Linked DNA regions of Arabidopsis thaliana. The protein of the gene in region 1 purifies or fractionates together with the protein of each later gene. This does not show direct contact. Each region holds a gene or a part of one and is shown on either strand. Other genes may lie near its edges. The genes, in order: E1 ALPHA and LTA3.

Region 1 (8,315 bases):
TCACGACCTTCTTCTTCTTCTGCATCTGCTGCTTCGCCGTCGCGAACTTCCTATGCTACAAGTGCCGGTAGTGATTATGGTGGTGGTGGTGGTGGAAAACAATCTCAATCCAAATTTCAAGCTCCTGGCGGCGGTTCATTTCCCTCTTCTCCGTCGCAGATCCATAGTGGTGGTGGCCGTTCTCCGCCACTTCCGCTTCCTCCGGGTCAATTCACGGCGGGAAATGCGTCATTTCCTTCATCAACACAGCCTCCTCCGGGTCAATACATGGCGGGAAATGCGTCATTTCCTTCATCAACACCGCCTCCTCCGGGTCAATACATGGCGGGAAATGCGCCATTTTCTTCATCGACACCGCTTCCTCCAGGTCAATACCCGGCGGTGAATGCGCAATTGTCTACATCCGCACCGTCTGTTCCACTTCCTCCGGGTCAATACACTGCGGTGAATGCGCCATTTTCGACATCCACACAGCCTGTATCGCTTCCTCCGGGTCAATACATGCCCGGTAATGCGGCATTGTCAGCATCGACACCGCTTACTCCGGGTCAATTCACCACGGCAAATGCTCCACCAGCACCGCCTGGTCCAGCAAACCAAACTTCACCACCACCACCACCTCCACCATCTGCTGCGGCTCCACCTCCCCCACCACCACCTAAAAAAGGACCTGCTGCACCACCACCACCTCCTCCACCAGGTAAGAAAGGAGCTGGACCGCCACCACCTCCTCCAATGTCGAAGAAGGGCCCACCTAAACCCCCTGGTAATCCAAAAGGACCAACAAAGTCAGGTGAGACTTCATTGGCCGTAGGCAAAACTGAGGATCCGACGCAGCCGAAGCTCAAGCCTTTACATTGGGATAAGATGAACCCTGATGCAAGCCGTTCTATGGTGTGGCACAAGATTGATGGTGGCTCCTTCAAGTAAGTATTAAAGTCTATATAATGTGGAATGTGATATTCTTAAGTACTGTATGATTTTGAGTTCTTATGCGGTTATAATATTTGTTTCTTGGGTAGCTTTGATGGTGATCTCATGGAGGCTTTGTTTGGATACGTTGCTCGAAAACCAAGTGAATCAAACAGTGTACCGCAGAATCAGACAGTCTCAAACAGTGTACCGCATAATCAGACTTATATCCTTGATCCTCGGAAATCTCAGAACAAAGCAATTGTGCTTAAATCTTTGGGGATGACTAAAGAAGAGATCATTGACTTGTTAACAGAAGGCCATGATGCTGAGTCTGATACCCTTGAGAAGCTTGCAGGAATAGCTCCAACGCCAGAAGAACAGACAGAAATCATAGATTTCGATGGTGAACCGATGACATTGGCTTATGCAGATTCTCTACTGTTTCACATCTTAAAAGCAGTTCCTTCCGCGTTTAACCGGTTCAACGTTATGCTTTTCAAGATTAACTACGGCTCTGAGGTTGCTCAACAAAAGGGATCTTTACTAACACTTGAATCCGCGTGCAACGAGCTCCGTGCTCGTGGGCTGTTCATGAAGCTGCTAGAAGCAATCTTGAAAGCAGGTAATAGAATGAACGCTGGAACCGCGAGGGGAAATGCTCAGGCTTTTAATCTGACAGCTTTAAGAAAATTGTCTGATGTGAAGAGTGTTGATGCGAAAACTACCTTACTTCATTTTGTTGTTGAAGAAGTTGTAAGGTCTGAAGGAAAGCGAGCTGCAATGAATAAGAACATGATGTCTAGTGATAATGGTAGTGGCGAGAATGCAGATATGTCTAGAGAAGAACAAGAGATTGAATTTATTAAGATGGGTTTACCCATTATAGGTGGCTTAAGTTCAGAGTTCACTAATGTGAAGAAAGCGGCTGGAATTGATTATGATTCGTTTGTAGCTACGACCTTGGCTTTAGGCACCCGAGTGAAAGAAACAAAACGTCTTTTAGACCAAAGCAAAGGGAAGGAAGATGGGTGTTTAACAAAGCTGAGATCTTTCTTTGAATCTGCGGAGGAAGAACTGAAAGTTATTACGGAAGAACAGCTTAGGATAATGGAGTTAGTGAAGAAAACTACAAACTATTACCAAGCTGGAGCATTGAAAGAGAGGAACCTGTTTCAACTGTTTGTTATAATCCGTGATTTCTTAGGGATGGTTGATAATGCATGTAGTGAGATCGCAAGGAATCAACGGAAACAACAGCAACAACGACCTGCAACAACAGTAGCAGGAGCATCAAGTTCACCAGCAGAAACTCCGAGCGTTGCTGCTGCACCGCAAAGGAACGCAGTTAGATTTCCAATTCTGCCTCCAAATTTCATGTCAGAGAGTTCAAGGTACAGCAGTTCAAGTGACTCAGACTCAGAATCTTGATAACCAGAAAAGCAAAAAAATATCATTTACATTTGTTATTATGTATATACAGAATGATAGGGGAGCTTGTTGGTAAAAATATTCATTAGGTTCTTTGAAGATGGTTCTTTCAATTTTACCTGTTTTGTTGATTTTTTTTTTTCGGGTTCATGGATTGGTTACGCCAAAGTTGAATTCTTTTTTTTTTTTGGGAAAGACGAAGAATACAAACAGAAGAAACCATTCCACTGGCCTTTGTTTGTAATTCAATTTGTTATATTATTTGGAGTGCAGCACAAAATGAGATCTCAACTCGATTGCTTGAATATTAAACACGAGACTACTAAAGCTTCACAAGAATAACATTGTTTCTCCTTATGTTTGTAAACAAAGATACAGAGAGATTAAAGTTCAGAAGGGGGGGGAGAGAGAGAGTATACAATCAGATCTTTATTCATATTCATAGATTTCTCTATCAGCCAACTTTCTCATGACACGTGGCAGTTTAACGAACAAGAGCTCCATGATCATGGAAGGGAAGCTTTGACTTCTTTTCTGTCAGGTCCAAATGACTGCCAACAGAAAACAAATGGGTCAATAAGAAAGATTAACTATAGTTTCAAGGGGCGTGGTGCAATATGAATATCTAATTAGTGAAGTACCTCGGTGCCAAATCCCTTCACATACACATTGGTAAAGAGCTCAGAAGGCTCTGGCATTGGGCAATCCTGAAACGGTACAGAGATTTTCGCATAAGGGTCTCGAGTTTACGCTTTGAAAGTAGTAATGTAACTGTTGTTTTACCTTAGCTTTGGCAATGGCGTCATCTACTTCTTTTCTAATTTCCTTCTCCATATCCTTAAGCTCTTTCTCGGTTGCTAGGTCATGAGATAGTACCAGCTTCTTTATTCTCTCAATTGGATCCCGTTCCTGAGTCATATAGAGTAGCACATAAATGTTTTGACTTTTGAGATTTCATCAATAGCTGAGTCCTCGACCAAGAAATGATTTTTCAGGTAAAGAGACTAACGAACCTGCCTCACACCAGATATCTCATCTCGGGTACGGTATGTGCTCCCAGGATCAGACATGGAGTGACCGTGGTACCTGTATGTGTCCATCTCAAGAATCTGTATAGAAGAAACGATGTATTAATGCTTCTGTAATCCATATGATAGGAAAGAATAAACACAGGAAAATAAATTGGAAACCAAAGCTACTACTTATATGAACAACAGCGATATCAAAAACACACTTCTTTGATATACACTGATACAGCGTAATTTCTATTGCAACTGCACAGAAAGAACCAGCCACCCCATCAATATTCAGCTACTGGAATGCAGTGTCCAAAAAGAGGAACTGAAGGGAAGTAAATATCAACTAAAAAATGCAAAAGGAAAGATTAATACTTCACGTCCTACAGGACAGCTAGATATTGCTCATAGCAAATTTACAAAATGCGCCAGATGAGTAAGGACCAAAGGGGAAAAAAACAAAACGTCTGATAATACTAAAATACAAACTTACTATTGGCCCCTTCTCCAACGCATGCTGCTTAGCAAATTTGCAAGCTTGTTTGACAGCAAATGCATCCATACCATCTACCTGTTTATCCATACAAACCAGCAACCGGTCAAACTCAAAAGAAAGTTGCTAACTTGATGCAGGTTACAAGAAACCTAATAAGAACAAGGTAATGATGCACACCATATCTCTGTTAACAATAGAAGATTCATGACAATCATTATCCATAAGACAGTCACATTCATCTCTAAACTGAGAGGTTATAAATGAAAGCTGAGTAGTAGTAAGTTACTTAAGACTTGCATTCTACCTGTTTCTATATGGAAACTAAGAAACTTATATCATTCAGGAAATGACACTAATCCATCTACCCAATCAAAACTTCCCTTTCTCATCTTAACAAGCCTCACACATCAATCCTTGTTACAAATAAGATTCAAAAGCTGACCTTGAGTCCAGGAACATAATCACCACGCTTGTAGTAAGATGGACTCTTAGCGGCTCTCCATTCAGCAGTTCCCATTCCATCTGCACAGATCAAATTCAATCAGATACTACGACAAAACAAACCTACAAAGAAAGAAAGAAAGAAAGAAAGAAGCAAAAATGCTTACAGTGATTGTTCTCGCAGACCAAAATTGCAGGCAAATCCCAAAGAGCAGAAATATTCAAAGCTTCAAACAACTGTCCCTGATTCGCAGCACCATCACCATACAAAGCAAATGTGACAGCCTCTTCCTTGTTATACTTCTGAGCAAAAGCAATACCACAACCTAATGGAACCTGAGCACCAACAATCCCATGACCACCGTAAAACGACGATTCCTTCTTATAGAAGTGCATAGATCCACCTTTCCCTTTAGAACAACCAGCTTGTCTTCCCATAAGCTCTGAGAAAACCTCATGAAGCGAACCACCACGACCTAAGAAAATACAGTGATCACGATAAGCAGTAATAATCGCGTCTTTCTTTGTAATCGCAGCTTCCATGCCTATAGCTACAGCTTCTTGGCCGTCGTAGAGATGACAAAACCCTCGGATTAGCTTCGCTTTGTAAAGCGAATCGGCTGCGATTTCCATACGTCGCATCAACGCCATGGTTCTGAAGAAATCGAGAAGCTCTTGACTCGATGATTCGACGGAGCGTGACGGTGGATCACATAAGTGAGCTGTGAAAGGAAGCGAAGTCTCGATTGTGATCGGAGTTGTGTCCGTTGAGATTAATCGGCTGAAGGCGGCGGAGAAGGGACGAGTGATGATGTTGGATCGTGATGAGAGGCGTGATAGAGCCATTTCTCCGCCGTTGATTCGAAGATTCTCCGGCGAATCTGTTGAAAACTTCGCGTAGGAACTGAGAGGACAATTTCAGTGAAGCAGTAGATAGCGATCCTAATATAAGAGACTCTGAGAGGATAAGAAGGTTTTCCGTACACAGCCTCACGTGAGTCACGTGACACCTGTGATAAAAGAGTCAATATATATTCATATTCTCTTAAAATCATATTATATAATCAAACTCAAATGTGATTAAAGATAAATAACCAAATGGATAAACCAAAATAAATAAATAAAACATGTGATTAAAGAGATTATTAATTTGAAAGAGAATTTAACATTAGAAGGAAAATTCAATAATTGTTCAATGAATGAATTAAAAATATCCAATTTTAGCATCATCCTTAAAAAAAAAAAAGATATTCTAACACTATACAGCAAAACTGGCGGCTCCAGCTGCAGTGTAGACTGTAGAAGATAAAAACTATGGTTGTTGCCATGTGAATCTCTTTGAGCCTAAAATGATGCAAGAATCTTTGTCAAAGACAGTTATTCTCTAGTCTCTCTCTACTACTACTCATTCTTGCATATCTCATTCTCAGCAAAGAACTTCACACCTGCACAATTTATCGTGAGTTAGAGATTATTGATGATTTGCAGTATTGATCACCACAGGCAAATAAAAGACAAGAGGGTTACTTACGGCGTTCTTGAGTTAAGGCAAGGCGACAAGTCTGCGGTTAAGACTCATGTGAAAGCGCGATATTCGTTTCTTTCTCGAGAGTTCACTACTATCAGAGGTTTTAACATTTTCAGGTCCAGTTGGATTCAGTGTTGCTTTCTTCTGCTTTCTTCTATATAAAAGATCTGCTGTGTGTGGTTCATACTTGACCTAATGAAGATTGTAAACTCTCATCAATCATATATACATGTGAAAAGAGAAAAGATTATCAGTGCAAGAGATTCACAAGAAAGTATTTTACCTTGAAAGAACTGCAAGCTATCTTACATTCAACCTCATTGATAATGTTCAATCCTTCCAAGGCACGTGACATCCCTAGAGATTCTTCACCCGGACCACTTAATTTTGCCTTGTTCCTGAAAAGAGTATGCTAAGGTGATTACTAACTGTACTACCACAACTGAAGACGAAAAAAGGTTATGCTCTAATCATTGCTTCATTCACCTTTTCAGAAATAGTCCGGGTTTCTCTTCATCACTGACAAACGAAAGAAAGTCATTCTGCAGATAATTAGCAAAACCTGGTTCCACTGTTACAGCTGTAACTTCAGGCTGATCATTCCAGCTGTTCATAAGTTGAATTCCGAGACGGGTTTGGGCAGATGACTGCACAGAAATTTGCAAATACAGATTAGTATATGGGAACATATAAACAGGTATCCACACATATCAAGAGAAGCATACATATTCAATCCTGTATATGTTCTGATCATGGAGAAGGGCTCGAGCATTCTCATGGTACACTATATCAAAGAATCTTCCTGGTTTTCTGTAGTTCTCGTATGCATATAGCTGCAGAAGCTTGGTGTCTGTCTCATCAGCTGCGACTGCGTGAAGCTGAAGCATGTCCAAGCCACTTAAATGATTAGTGCGGAGCAAACAAAAATAAAGGAGAGAGAACAGAAGCAGAGTCAAGACGATAACAAGGTAAAATGGAAGCTTACATGCTTAACAAACTTTTGAACTAGCTTGTCCAATGTGAAGAGAACATATGATTGTGCTCCGATAATAGCTCGACATTCATCTTCAAACTTTGTATTGTCGCTAGAGCCATCAAGTAAATTGTAAAGGGCTTCCATGAACCTAAGCTTTCAAATATCAGTTAGGAAATAATATTTTTTCAATTAAAAAGTACCAATGATGCTTAGAAAATAAACCACCTGGTATAAGAATCAGTAGATGTGCTATCTGGAGCTTTCCATTTCCTCTCTGAATGTATCTTTGCTGATTGTATTCTCTCGTACAACATCTGGAAAATCAGCAGAATTAGCGGTTTGGACTGAGACAATTGACATTTGAGGAACATGAGAAGGTTGTTTCGTAGCACTTACTTGATGAAGCCTAAAAAGCACATAGAGTGAATCATTCCCATAGAAAACTCGAGAATCATTCCGGGTGTCGCATTCACTTGCTTGCAGTGTCCCAGGCACATGCTTTGCAAGGGGCTTTACAGGTTGCAGATACCGTTCTGAAAATGTGAAAAAGGATCCATCTTCACCCTCGTTGGAATTAACCATCCCTCCAGCCTCATTTTCACTCTCAGCTCCTTTATGCTCTTCATCGGAAGAAACTTGGCCACCAAACTTGCTTGCTGAGACAATAAATTTCGAGGCATTTTCATCCCCTTCTGATAACTTTTGAGTTATTTTATTATCATCATCTTCAGGGAGGGCATTGCTCCTTGTTACAGCTTCAGTACCACATGCACCCTCTTTGGGTTCTCGGTCTGTATTACTTATTTCATTATCTGGTAGTTTCTGCACAGGCTCGAGCCCATTCTCTTTATAAACCTCGAAATTTTCTTGCTCGCAACTTTCAGTGGGGGATAATTCACCCTCTTCTCGCTCGACCTTATGCCCTCCCATTGATACATCACTGACCCTACTACGATTCTCTACACCCTCCATTATCAAATCGTTTCTGGTTGACACCAGTTTGGAAGGCTGGCTATCCTGTAGAACCACAAAAACAAATATCAAGGAAATATCTTTTTTCACATACAGGAATATTATGAAAACTTAAGCAACTTTCATTTATTGCCCAACAGTAAAATACGCTCTACCACCACTAGTCCAGATTTATGAACCTTTGACTATATTTACTCAGTGAAAAGTGAATACGGCCTCAGGTCAAGAACAAAGGTACTCAGGAAGAAACAATACGGTTACCTCATTAGTTATAGCTGCAACATCATGCAGTTTATCTTGCTGAATGCTTTCTCCTGTGTTGACTGGCAAATCTTGCGCAAAAGAGCTTCCTTGTATCATTGGGTTTTCTTTGTTAGGCATTTTTGGAGGTGTTAACGGTTTAAGGTTTGAGGCCATAGAACCGTCACATGTATTTTCCTTCACTGCCTCACTTGCATCATGGTGCTCTTGGTTGTCTTCGATCTTTGCAACATCTTTCATTGTCTCAATAGTTTCAGACCTAGAAGGAACGCCAAACATGGG
Region 2 (10,810 bases), on another chromosome or scaffold:
GACATTAATACATTATATATCCTTTATCTTATAAAACACAAGTCACTTGGCAAATCATGTTTTGACATGTGGCAAATTTATCAAAAACAAAATCCACAATGTAAAACAAAAATGAATTTTTCGACAAAACTCAAAATAAAATTAAATGTGAAAACAGTGTACAAAATTAAAACATTATCGTCAATTTTCCCACGATCACTCTCAAAAGAAAATAAAAATCAACCCACATATTCTCCATACTCCCACAATTTCTTTTTCTTCTATTCAAACTATGTAACTCTTTTTTTTCAATTAAAACATTCAAACTAACTATTGGGAAACAAAGACAGATACGATCTCAAACCTATATATACAAATCTCGGTATCATCTTTCTATTGTTGATATTGGTTTTTAAAAGAAGGTTGAGAGTAAAATCATTTAGGAGCGAGACCTTCTTTGTAACAAGAGTCTTCAATCTCTAATCAGTTCATATAAGGCAATATGGCCAGCGTATGTTATATTTCTTTTATTTTATTGATTGCGTTTAGATGAGTATATTAATGCTTTCTGTTTTTGAATTATCTTTTATTATGTATGTTTAATATCTTTTTGCTTCATAGATCAACCACTAAAAATAAACAAGCAAACTTGATCGATAGAGGATAAAACACAAACAAAGTAGAAGACTTGAGCAAGAAAAACACCAATGGCAAAGTAGTAGGAGGTTGAAGACGAAGTAGAAGTGTACAACATTAAGACATAAATGATATCATCTATGTATTGAGTCAACTTCACTCTGGTAACTTTTTTTTGTCTATGACTATAATCTATGTTTGTATTGAGTCTTTGAATACCATATGTAATTTTTTATTTTATAGCTTTTGTATGTATTCTAGAAAGCATTGAAGTTGGAAGCTAATTCTCTATATTTGGAAGACTAATAATTTTGTGATATCAACTTCAATTCTCCATTATATATCAAATTATCATCTGAAAAAATAAAATCCACAAATACATGAAACGATATATTTTTCCCTACACGATTATATACTAATCTATTTATAAAATTAATTTTTCATGTATAAATATCGATAATATGTAACATATCATAACATTTAAATTCAAAAAAAGAATGTATCATAACATTAATTTTCGGTGCTATGCACCGGGTATAATACTAGTTACAAATAAAGTATAAAAGGAATTAAACTTTTATATAGATAATTAACACAAACAAAATATTAGAGACGATTTCAAATAAATTATGAGGATATAGATGAGAAAAATACTATATAGAATAACAATAGTAAGAAATTAAAAATAAATAAATCAATTTGTACATATAAATTAGAAAGAAAAATATAGATAAATAATTAAACAATATTAATAGTATCACATAGGTCAATTAAAATTTTATATACAATAGTTAAAGAGTATTATATCTCAAAACTAAGTTTTGATACTGCGTAGAACAAATCATGTTTCAAGCAAAAATGATCAAATTCCTATGATGCTGGAAATGCTTGACGATCCACATGAGACTGGCTATGTGCATGTATGGAGAAAAACGTGTTGTTCGACAACGCGTGCATGCCTTCTTCCACCTAAGTGACGACGCATCACAAAAAGTTATCTAGTAGTGTTAATAGTTCATGTTCCATCTGCCGAAATTACACACAATATAACGTATTCGATTATTTGTTATCCAACAACTTAAACGATTCGACCAACTCACTCAACCTTTTGTCACTAGTTCCAGTCATATATTTCTTATAAATACTCGTTCACTACATCTGTACAGATCGAAAGAATCTCTTGATATATTACAACACACCCATAATTCATAAAGACTAGCTCATATACCTTTGATATATGAGATTTGATCTATATGTCGTTCTCCTTAACTAGATATCGCTAATTGGGCTTGCATTCAACAAGCAACATATATCGCTTATTACATTCGACGATACTCAGCTTCTACATCTTAAGTCTCTCTTTTTTTCTGAGCTCACCATCAAGTATAAGAACACAATTCTACCTCTTATTTGTCTACTCCCAATTTTTTGTTTTTGGTTTTTCACTATTCTGACATCTTATCGTATTATGATTAACGTTAAGAATGTCGTCTCGAAAATCACCTACCTAGCTATTGTTTCAAGATTCGACTCCCATGCGCGTCCCATCAAGAACAAACCATCCAGAAGCATCAACCTCCAACTATTAGAGAATAATGTCCCATTCGCCCCTCGCTGGTCAAATCGCTTCCATTTGATTCACATAAGTCCAACAACAACGATGATCTCTGGTGTACTACTACCAAAACTCAACCTTGAGACAGATTCTCAAAATACTATATGTTCTATTAACTATTTTAACTTGAATCAAGTTGATAATTGTAGAGAGAAATTTTTTGTTCACTTCTTATTAATTTGTAAAACATTTATTTTAAAACCCATTACCGTTAAGCTTTGATACAATGATACATGTTATTTTCTGATTAAAAATGGTTATAAACTTGAACGGTATAAGACTTTAGTGTATAGAGAACAATTTAGAGAATCTGTATTTATGTAACCGCGACCTTTCGGAAACGTAGAAGGTGGTCGCACAAACAAACCAATCAAACCCTTAATCGATGGCACTCTTTTAATGTCTAATAAACTTCGGTTCGTCACTCGACCGGACAATTAAATATGTGATTAAAAGTGTGAATTTCCGGTTCGGTAGAGATTACTGGTATTTGTTAATCCGGGCCGGACCGGGCCGTATCTGAATTATGAACACTTTCCTAATGTCATAGAATCGTTCGTGCCGTCGTCGCTGCGATCTGACCAAAATCAAAAGTGTTACGATTCGGTATCATCGTCTCTCTCATTTGTGATTTTGTCAAACCCTGCTCTCTTTTCTCCAAGTGCTCTCATGGTGCTTCCGCTCTTCCGGCGCGCTGCGATCGCCCGGACTTCCTCGCTTCTCAGAGCTCGTCTTTTCGCTCCTGCCTCCGAATTCCATTCTCGGTACGCTTATTCTCTCTATCTAGTCCCGCCTCTTTCAAAGTATTTTGATGTTGCTCTTCTTCCATGTGTGATCCTTTGCAATTCGATGACTGAACTGTTTCTTAGTTCGATTTCATTTTCCTTTTCCGCAATCATCCATTGACTTTTTTTGGAGTTCTTATTACGTATTGTATAGTGATGTTTAAGAATGCCAAATTTGGTTTTGTTGGAACAATTGAACTATCCATTTTTTCTTATCGAACTGGTAGTACGGGTTTATCTTCTCTAGTTTGTGAGATGTAATTTCCATTTTACGTCACTCGCAGTGAAGAACAAGTGTGTCCTTAAACTGGTGTGATCTCTTTACCTTTCCAATACATTTGACAATGAACTTTCTTATTCAGCTTTTCTAATGGACTATACCACTTGGACGACAAAATTAGTAGCAGTAATGGTGTGAGGTATGTGTTCCATATCACAAATTGAGGACAAGATTTATTTTTATAGAAAAAGTCAGTGTGATCGTAGGCATTCAAAGTTTAAGGTTATAATTTAGTTCGTTTCGTATGTGTTAGATTGTTAGTCTAGTTTGAGATTTTGTCTGTTCTACATTTTCAGGTCTGCCTCTATAGACTTGATTACAAGAATGGATGATAGTTCTCCAAAGCCCATTGTAAGTGAACAGCTAGTACTGTTTCTTTTCTTTTTTCACTTTCATCTATCCGTGTTTCTCACATACATTGTTTTCTTGTAGCTGCGATTTGGCGTGCAAAACTTTTCATCTACAGGTATTCATTGATTGTTATGTCATCTTATGGAATAATGATCTTCATAAATGAGTCAACCAAGCAATTCCATTATAGAATTACTAAACGAGTTGATTATGGGACTTTCATCTGATTTGAGCAACCTGTCGGCAATTGTTAAATTGTTTTAGCCATAAGACTTACCAACACAGATGTTAAGTGGGTGATAAGAATAATTAATGGAAACTTTCGCTTAACTTGTAGAAAAATAGAAATGTTAATTGATGCAGGTGCAAAAACTTCCATATCACTCTTTTCTCTGATGTTTGTGCTTCCATCATACCTTAGATACAGCGACAGGAGATGCAATCAATTATACAAGATTCTTCCATTAAATTATTATTTTCTTTGGGTTGTAGGACCCATATCACAGACGGTTCTTGCAATGCCAGCCTTGTCTCCTACTATGGTAGGAAATTTGACTTCAATCTTGTAAAGAATTTTGGCCTCCTCCAAGACATTTGGACTTCAATCATTGTTTTATGTTTGTTGGGCTTTTGCAGAGTCATGGAAATGTTGTAAAATGGATGAAGAAAGAAGGTGACAAGGTGGGTTATTTCTTATTTTTGGTTGACAAAATTTCAGTCGACTTTTATGATTTTGTCTACTAATGATCATTATACAAGAAAGACGATAAATTGATAATTTAGCTGGCAAAGAAAATATAGAATGTGGAAATTCTCAGTAACAGGTATGAATTTGGTTCTTCCTGACAGGTAGAGGTGGGTGATGTACTATGTGAGATAGAGACAGACAAAGCCACTGTAGAATTTGAGAGTCAAGAGGAAGGGTAATTTTGAAAAAGACGGTTCATGATTTTATGTTTTGATTTGTATTTTTATTTCATTATACCTTGGTAATTCAAATATCTGACTCCCTATAAGTATATGAAAATGTCAATTGGCTTACTATGAAGCATGGTTCTGCAGATTTCTGGCCAAGATTTTAGTCACTGAAGGATCAAAGGATATCCCTGTTAATGAACCGATTGCAATAATGGTAAGCACAGTGGCTGTCTTATACATTTATAGAAACCAAGTATGATCTCACAAAAGGTGATGCATGCATCAACATACGCTTATTAGGAGTTCCTGTTTGTTTATCTAGTCTGCTCTTGGCCTCTTTCACTTTCTTTCGTTTCCTGGGTTTACATTCTGGAAGACTTGACAAATCATAGAGATGTATGGTATTTCGTTGTCAATATTTATTGTGGAAAAATGTCCAAGATCCAATCTCATGCTCTCTTCTTCTAAATATTTCCGTTTGCCATACTGAGTTGTCATGTTATGTCCCCAAACATGATATATCGTAGGGTTTAGGGTGTAGCGTATATTGGTTACAGTTTTGGTCAACATCTTGCTACATAAGGTTGATGGATAAGAGTTTAATCTTATCTATTTAATTGTAACCAAGGTTGAGGAGGAAGACGACATTAAAAACGTTCCTGCTACCATAGAGGGTGGACGAGATGGTAAAGAGGAAACATCAGCTCATCAAGTGATGAAACCTGACGAAAGCACACAACAAAAAAGTTCCATTCAGCCCGATGCATCAGATCTTCCCCCACATGTCGTCTTAGAAATGCCAGCACTTTCTCCTACAATGGTATGAAATTTCATATTTTATGCTAGCTTTTTTTGGAGGAGAAGGCATTCAGCTTTCTATCCTAAGACTCTGAATTATTTGTTTATTGATGTGCAGAACCAAGGTAATATTGCCAAATGGTGGAAAAAAGAGGGTGACAAGGTTAGTTTCTGGTGACCCGATGAGTAAATTGGCATTGTAATTTCACCACAAGAAATCTGATGTTTATGCACTTGCCTGTGTTGATTCTTCTCATTTCATGAAACAGATTGAAGTGGGTGATGTCATAGGTGAGATCGAGACTGACAAAGCCACTCTGGAATTTGAAAGCCTTGAAGAGGGGTATAACTAACATCTTGTCGTCTTATTTCTTTTTCTAGGCAGTATGTTGATGTTCATTCTATATAGCATTCACTATCTGTGGATATTGCTTCTTTTCTTGTTTGGTTAAGTGAGAAGTAAATGTTAATTGCAAAAAGTAAGGTCTCTCCAAGTGTTCCCCCTTGAACTGATAGTGATTTAAAAGGTTGATTTCATGTTTCGTAGTTTTCATATGAGTATGGGCTTCCTCTACAAAAACTGATTTCCTGGATCAAATGAGTGAAGTTATATAATAGATTCTATAACTTGATGGATGACTTTTGTGTAGGTACTTAGCTAAGATTCTAATTCCTGAAGGTTCCAAGGATGTGGCGGTGGGAAAGCCGATTGCCCTAATAGTAAGTCTTTTAGTTCAAAAGTACATTGACTGAATTCTTTATGCCAGAAAACTGTATTACGACTGGTATATTTAATCCATTTGTTTTACTAGCCTGTGTGTAATGCATTTTGTGCATAAATTGGTCGACACTCTTCTAGTTCCATGCTACGTTATATATTGCCTGAAGTAAAAGTTATGCCTGCACAAAAAATCTTTGAAAATACAATTGCTTGCAGATTGGGGGATATAATAAGCTAATCGTTCTTCTCTGTAGGTTGAAGATGCTGAAAGTATTGAAGCCATCAAGTCTTCTTCCGCAGGTAGTTCTGAGGTTGATACAGTTAAAGAAGTCCCTGACAGTGTTGTAGATAAACCTACAGAGAGGAAAGCAGGCTTCACAAAGATCAGTCCTGCTGCAAAGCTATTGATTTTAGAACATGGATTGGAGGCATCATCAATTGAGGCATCGGGTCCCTATGGTACATTATTGAAATCAGACGTTGTGGCCGCAATTGCTTCTGGAAAAGCTTCTAAATCATCTGCGTCTACGAAGAAGAAGCAACCATCAAAGGAGACCCCGTCTAAATCCTCCTCCACATCGAAGCCTTCTGTGACACAGTCAGATAATAATTATGAAGATTTTCCAAATAGTCAAATTCGCAAGGTAAATTAACATATTTATTACTCTCTATGTAGAATGATGAAATATGTCCTGCTGCATTCTGTTTTACTTTCCCCACTTGGCAGATTATAGCAAAACGTTTATTGGAATCAAAACAGAAGATACCCCATTTGTATTTACAATCAGGTTGGTGACTCACAACCTTTGTATTTTCTTTGTGTATTTTATTTGCTGTTTAAGCATTTTATTTTGCCTGCAGATGTTGTATTGGATCCTCTTCTTGCATTTAGAAAAGAACTTCAAGGTTTGTAGACTGCTCTTATCACACATCCTGGTATTTATTAACAACTTGAGAGGCTCAGAGTGAACTGTACTTTCATGATCTACAGAAAACCATGGCGTTAAAGTGTCTGTCAATGACATAGTTATTAAAGCAGTGGCAGTCGCACTGAGGAATGTACGACAAGCTAATGGTGAGAAATTATTTTCTCCTCGTAAATGATTTCATTAAAAATAACTAAACTATGGTTTGTTCCCATCCCTAACTATGCGCTAGATTAAAACCTTAGTTCATCCTCTTTAAGGAAACTCGGCTTCCATGTTGGATTATTCTTGCAATGCCGTTTACCTCCGTTGAGAGTATTTAGTAAAGATGTTTTGAGATTGTAATACTGTAACATTCAATATGACTGGTAATGCATTTTAGACTCGGTTTTAGTCGTTACAAGTAGGACATTTTTTGGTGTGAGTTTGATGTAATGATTTGTGGATTGGAATCGTGTGGTTGTTTTTTCTCTTCTGCTTTCTCAAACCTTTCTTATGGTTGCTTAAAGTTCTCTTTCTCAATGTCTGGCAGCTTTCTGGGATGCTGAGAAAGGAGATATCGTTATGTGTGACAGTGTTGACATATCAATTGCAGTTGCAACTGAGAAGGTACACTTGTGTGTTTGATTTTCTGATCATTTCAACAGTTTATCCCTCATCATCTTGGCATTTTTTGCAGGGCTTAATGACTCCAATTATCAAGAATGCAGACCAGAAATCTATTTCTGCTATTTCCTTAGAGGTAATTTTATTCTCTCTGAAGTTAAACGAATATGGAAGGCTATAGAGGCACATATGTTTGATCAGTTCTTACCATATTCCATGTGTTGTTGATCGCTATAGTTATGAATTTTAATATGTCAAATGATTTTTGGATCAGGTTAAGGAGCTGGCACAAAAGGCTCGATCTGGAAAGCTTGCTCCTCATGAGTTTCAAGGAGGGACATTCAGGTATTCATCATTTTTAAGTTATTAAGCATAGTACGGAATTATCAATCATGTGTAACTTTTCCTACTTAACGAGAAAACCATACTTTATCGTTTTGCAGCATATCAAATCTAGGAATGTATCCTGTGGATAATTTCTGCGCAATCATTAACCCCCCTCAGGTAATCATAGCCTTAACGATGCACCCTGAATCACAGATTGAAGATTAAGTTTTGCTGTTTGTAATTTGTGGTGTAGAGGATTTAGTTTAATATTTATAGAGATGCAGATGTGTTTTTTTGGATAATAAACTTCAGGACTATCAATTGTCTTGCAGGCTGGGATTCTAGCAGTTGGTAGAGGAAACAAAGTGGTTGAGCCAGTTATTGGACTAGATGGTGAGCTAGTAGAATCCTTTTGGGTTTTCAACTAGGGTTGCTATTCTGATCATGGTATGACAAGTTTTCGTCATTGTTTCAGGAATTGAGAAGCCTTCTGTTGTGACAAAAATGAATGTAACGTTATCCGCTGATCATCGGATCTTTGATGGACAAGTTGGAGGTAATGGAACATTCATAAATCCCTTCGTTTCGAGTTTTATGTTATGCTGCTGCCATATTTCACTGTGTTTCTCCTTTGTTACTCATTGCTTTTTCTATGAAACCGGCTTTGTTTCAGCTTCGTTTATGTCTGAATTGCGTTCAAACTTTGAGGATGTTCGAAGACTTCTTCTGTGAGAAAGATCCAACTGTTTACCAAATGAATCTTGGATTACTACATAATAAACCTCGGACCAACCCACGTGCACATCCAGAACCAGAACTGCTGGTCTACATTGTTAACTCTGATCACATGTTTCATTTTTTTCCATTTGGTTCATATACTTACCAAAATTTGTTTTGGTCTTTAACAATTCGTCTTATAGATTGGTAACTTCCTGAGGTATTTTTTGTCTGGTCTGTCCTCTGCAAAATAAATAATTTCAGCTGTCAATCCGCAACTGGTGAAATAATTTAAAAAGTATTTTACCCTCATCAAAATTTTTAAAATGAGATTATTGCCATCTCTGTTCTACCAGATCTTATTGTTGAGCTCCAAGAAACGATTTATAGACTTATAGTGGTTAGTGTTGAATTCATCCGTTAAGTCTTTAACCAAGAGATTACAAAATTTCTATCCAAAATTTAGGGTTTAAGTACCATTACAAAAGAAGGAAATATCAGAGATTTGAAGGTGATGTAGGTTAATCATCTGAAGTAGTCTAATGTCTTGCAAATTGTGTTGTAATTTGTTCTATATATAAAGTTTTTGCATTTTCGGAGAAATAAAGAAAAAAATGATCACAATACATCCGAATTGATAGCATCGCATTCGCATAATAAAAACTTGTAGAATGAAAAAATGAAAAATCACATAATGAAACAAGAAACTATACGCTTACTTATTAGCATAATATGCTTTTATTTATATTTTTAGACGTAAGATCTACATTTTCATGAATCTTATGCATATTTTCTCGATTGGTTCTTGCATAATCGTATTAAAAACCCGTTATTCAACCATTATCCGTGTTACGAATAAAGTATGAAATATAAATGAAATATGGAGGCAACAGAAGAAGAAAAGTTTAAATGTGTGTCAAAATTGTAATTTTCAGAACTTCAGCCGGAGAAGAAAGACATGAGCGGCTTCGTGGTTTCAAAACCGGAGCAGAGCCATCATCGTCTCTTCGATTTCGCAAAGACGGCCATAATCAACATCTTCGCACATCCTTATGCCACTGTATCTAACAAACCCGCTTCCTCTCAACTCCATTTCATTTACAAAGTCTTATCCTTTATGTCTCTCTCTCTGCGTCTTTTCTAGGTTTGCGAATTGTACTGTGGCGGAGCTCCCGAAACCGACAAGTGGGAAGCTGCTCCGATTGGTCACTACATCGGAATTGGTATTAATATACTCTTACTTACATACTCAGTGTTATATCAGTACGGCTTCATCGAAGATTGATAGGTTTGCGTTTTTTTCTATTTGGGGGAAGTAGATACATCTTCTGGGATTTCTTCTGTACGAGAAGCTTGGGAGAGTCAGAGGAAGAATTACGATGTGGAATTCTTTGAAGCTGATCCTTCCAAGGCAAGGCCTTTTTTTGTTTTTCCATGTGTTTCAGCTAAACTAAGTAATCTGGAGCAAAAGTCTTAGTTTTTGCTTCATTTTGTGTCACAGGATGATTTTGAAATCCAGCTACAGAAGAAATTGGAGCAGGCTGATTTAGTTTCTTGTTGGCGCCATCTCCAGGTTTGAGATTTTGTCGTTTGTTTTCTCCGAAAAATGTAGCATAGCAAGGATGTGATGGTCTAAAATCTTCTTTATGTAGTTATGCTTTGAAACTGAGGAGAGTGCGAGAAGACTCCTAACTAATGTAGCATGTTTACTGAAACCAGGGGGTTATTTTTTCGGTATCACTCCTGACTCGTCTACGATTTGGTAATGATGTTTTCTGTATCAATGCATCAACTTCAGCATTTGATTGCCTATATATTTTGATCAGTTGGACTGCGCTCCTTAACATTCTGGTCAAACAGGGCAAAGTACCAGAAAAATGTTGAAGCATACCACAACAGAAGCGGTGCAAAGCCTAATGTATTTCCAAACTACATTCGGTCTGAAAGTTACATGATCACTTTCGAATTGGAGGAAGAAAAGTGAGCATTTTTTATCTGAGATAAATTCATTTTGCTATCAAGTTCCTTTTGTGAACTTGGACTGTTTGTCATTTTCTTCTCAGATTTCCGCTGTTTGGAAAGAGGTACCAGCTGAAATTTTCTGGTGACAATGCTTCTGAAGACCATTGCTTGGTTCACTTCCCAAGCTTA

Evidence for each region.
Region 2: the proteins of E1 ALPHA (region 1) and LTA3 purify together in Arabidopsis thaliana (affinity purification with mass spectrometry, with the first as the bait; one large-scale study listed by BioGRID). This does not show direct contact.

The regions. Positions count from the first base shown.
Region 1 is NC_003070.9:22,048,195-22,056,509, reverse strand, and holds E1 ALPHA (pyruvate dehydrogenase complex E1 alpha subunit), read right to left. Parts: upstream 5,378-8,315; 5' UTR 5,143-5,377; coding exon 4,464-5,142; intron 4,378-4,463; coding exon 4,298-4,377; intron 3,931-4,297; coding exon 3,853-3,930; intron 3,453-3,852; coding exon 3,357-3,452; intron 3,253-3,356; coding exon 3,127-3,252; intron 3,051-3,126; coding exon 2,985-3,050; coding exon of another isoform or gene 2,973-2,984; exon of another isoform or gene 2,951-2,972; intron 2,895-2,950; coding exon 2,850-2,894; 3' UTR 2,625-2,849; downstream 1-2,624. Other genes in the region: AT1G59910 (Actin-binding FH2 (formin homology 2) family protein), read left to right, coding at 1-926, 1,023-2,343; SNL5 (SIN3-like 5), read right to left, coding at 5,840-6,016, 6,108-6,222, 6,311-6,471, 6,550-6,702, 6,810-6,948, 7,026-7,114, 7,197-7,817, 8,034-8,315. UniProt on the Arabidopsis thaliana protein: The pyruvate dehydrogenase complex catalyzes the overall conversion of pyruvate to acetyl-CoA and CO(2).
Region 2 is NC_003074.8:19,357,418-19,368,227, forward strand, and holds LTA3 (Dihydrolipoamide acetyltransferase, long form protein), read left to right. Parts: upstream 1-2,788; 5' UTR 2,789-2,899; coding exon 2,900-2,994; intron 2,995-3,377; coding exon 3,378-3,434; intron 3,435-3,591; coding exon 3,592-3,646; intron 3,647-3,727; coding exon 3,728-3,761; intron 3,762-3,910; coding exon 3,911-4,188; intron 4,189-4,282; coding exon 4,283-4,327; intron 4,328-4,495; coding exon 4,496-4,569; intron 4,570-4,708; coding exon 4,709-4,778; intron 4,779-5,192; coding exon 5,193-5,384; intron 5,385-5,480; coding exon 5,481-5,525; intron 5,526-5,631; coding exon 5,632-5,705; intron 5,706-6,012; coding exon 6,013-6,082; intron 6,083-6,337; coding exon 6,338-6,727; intron 6,728-6,810; coding exon 6,811-6,871; intron 6,872-6,944; coding exon 6,945-6,989; intron 6,990-7,074; coding exon 7,075-7,158; intron 7,159-7,541; coding exon 7,542-7,618; intron 7,619-7,688; coding exon 7,689-7,751; intron 7,752-7,889; coding exon 7,890-7,960; intron 7,961-8,058; and 9 more. Other genes in the region: AT3G52210 (S-adenosyl-L-methionine-dependent methyltransferases superfamily protein), read left to right, coding at 9,618-9,719, 9,804-9,882, 9,976-10,070, 10,161-10,232, 10,312-10,421, 10,520-10,639, 10,723-10,810.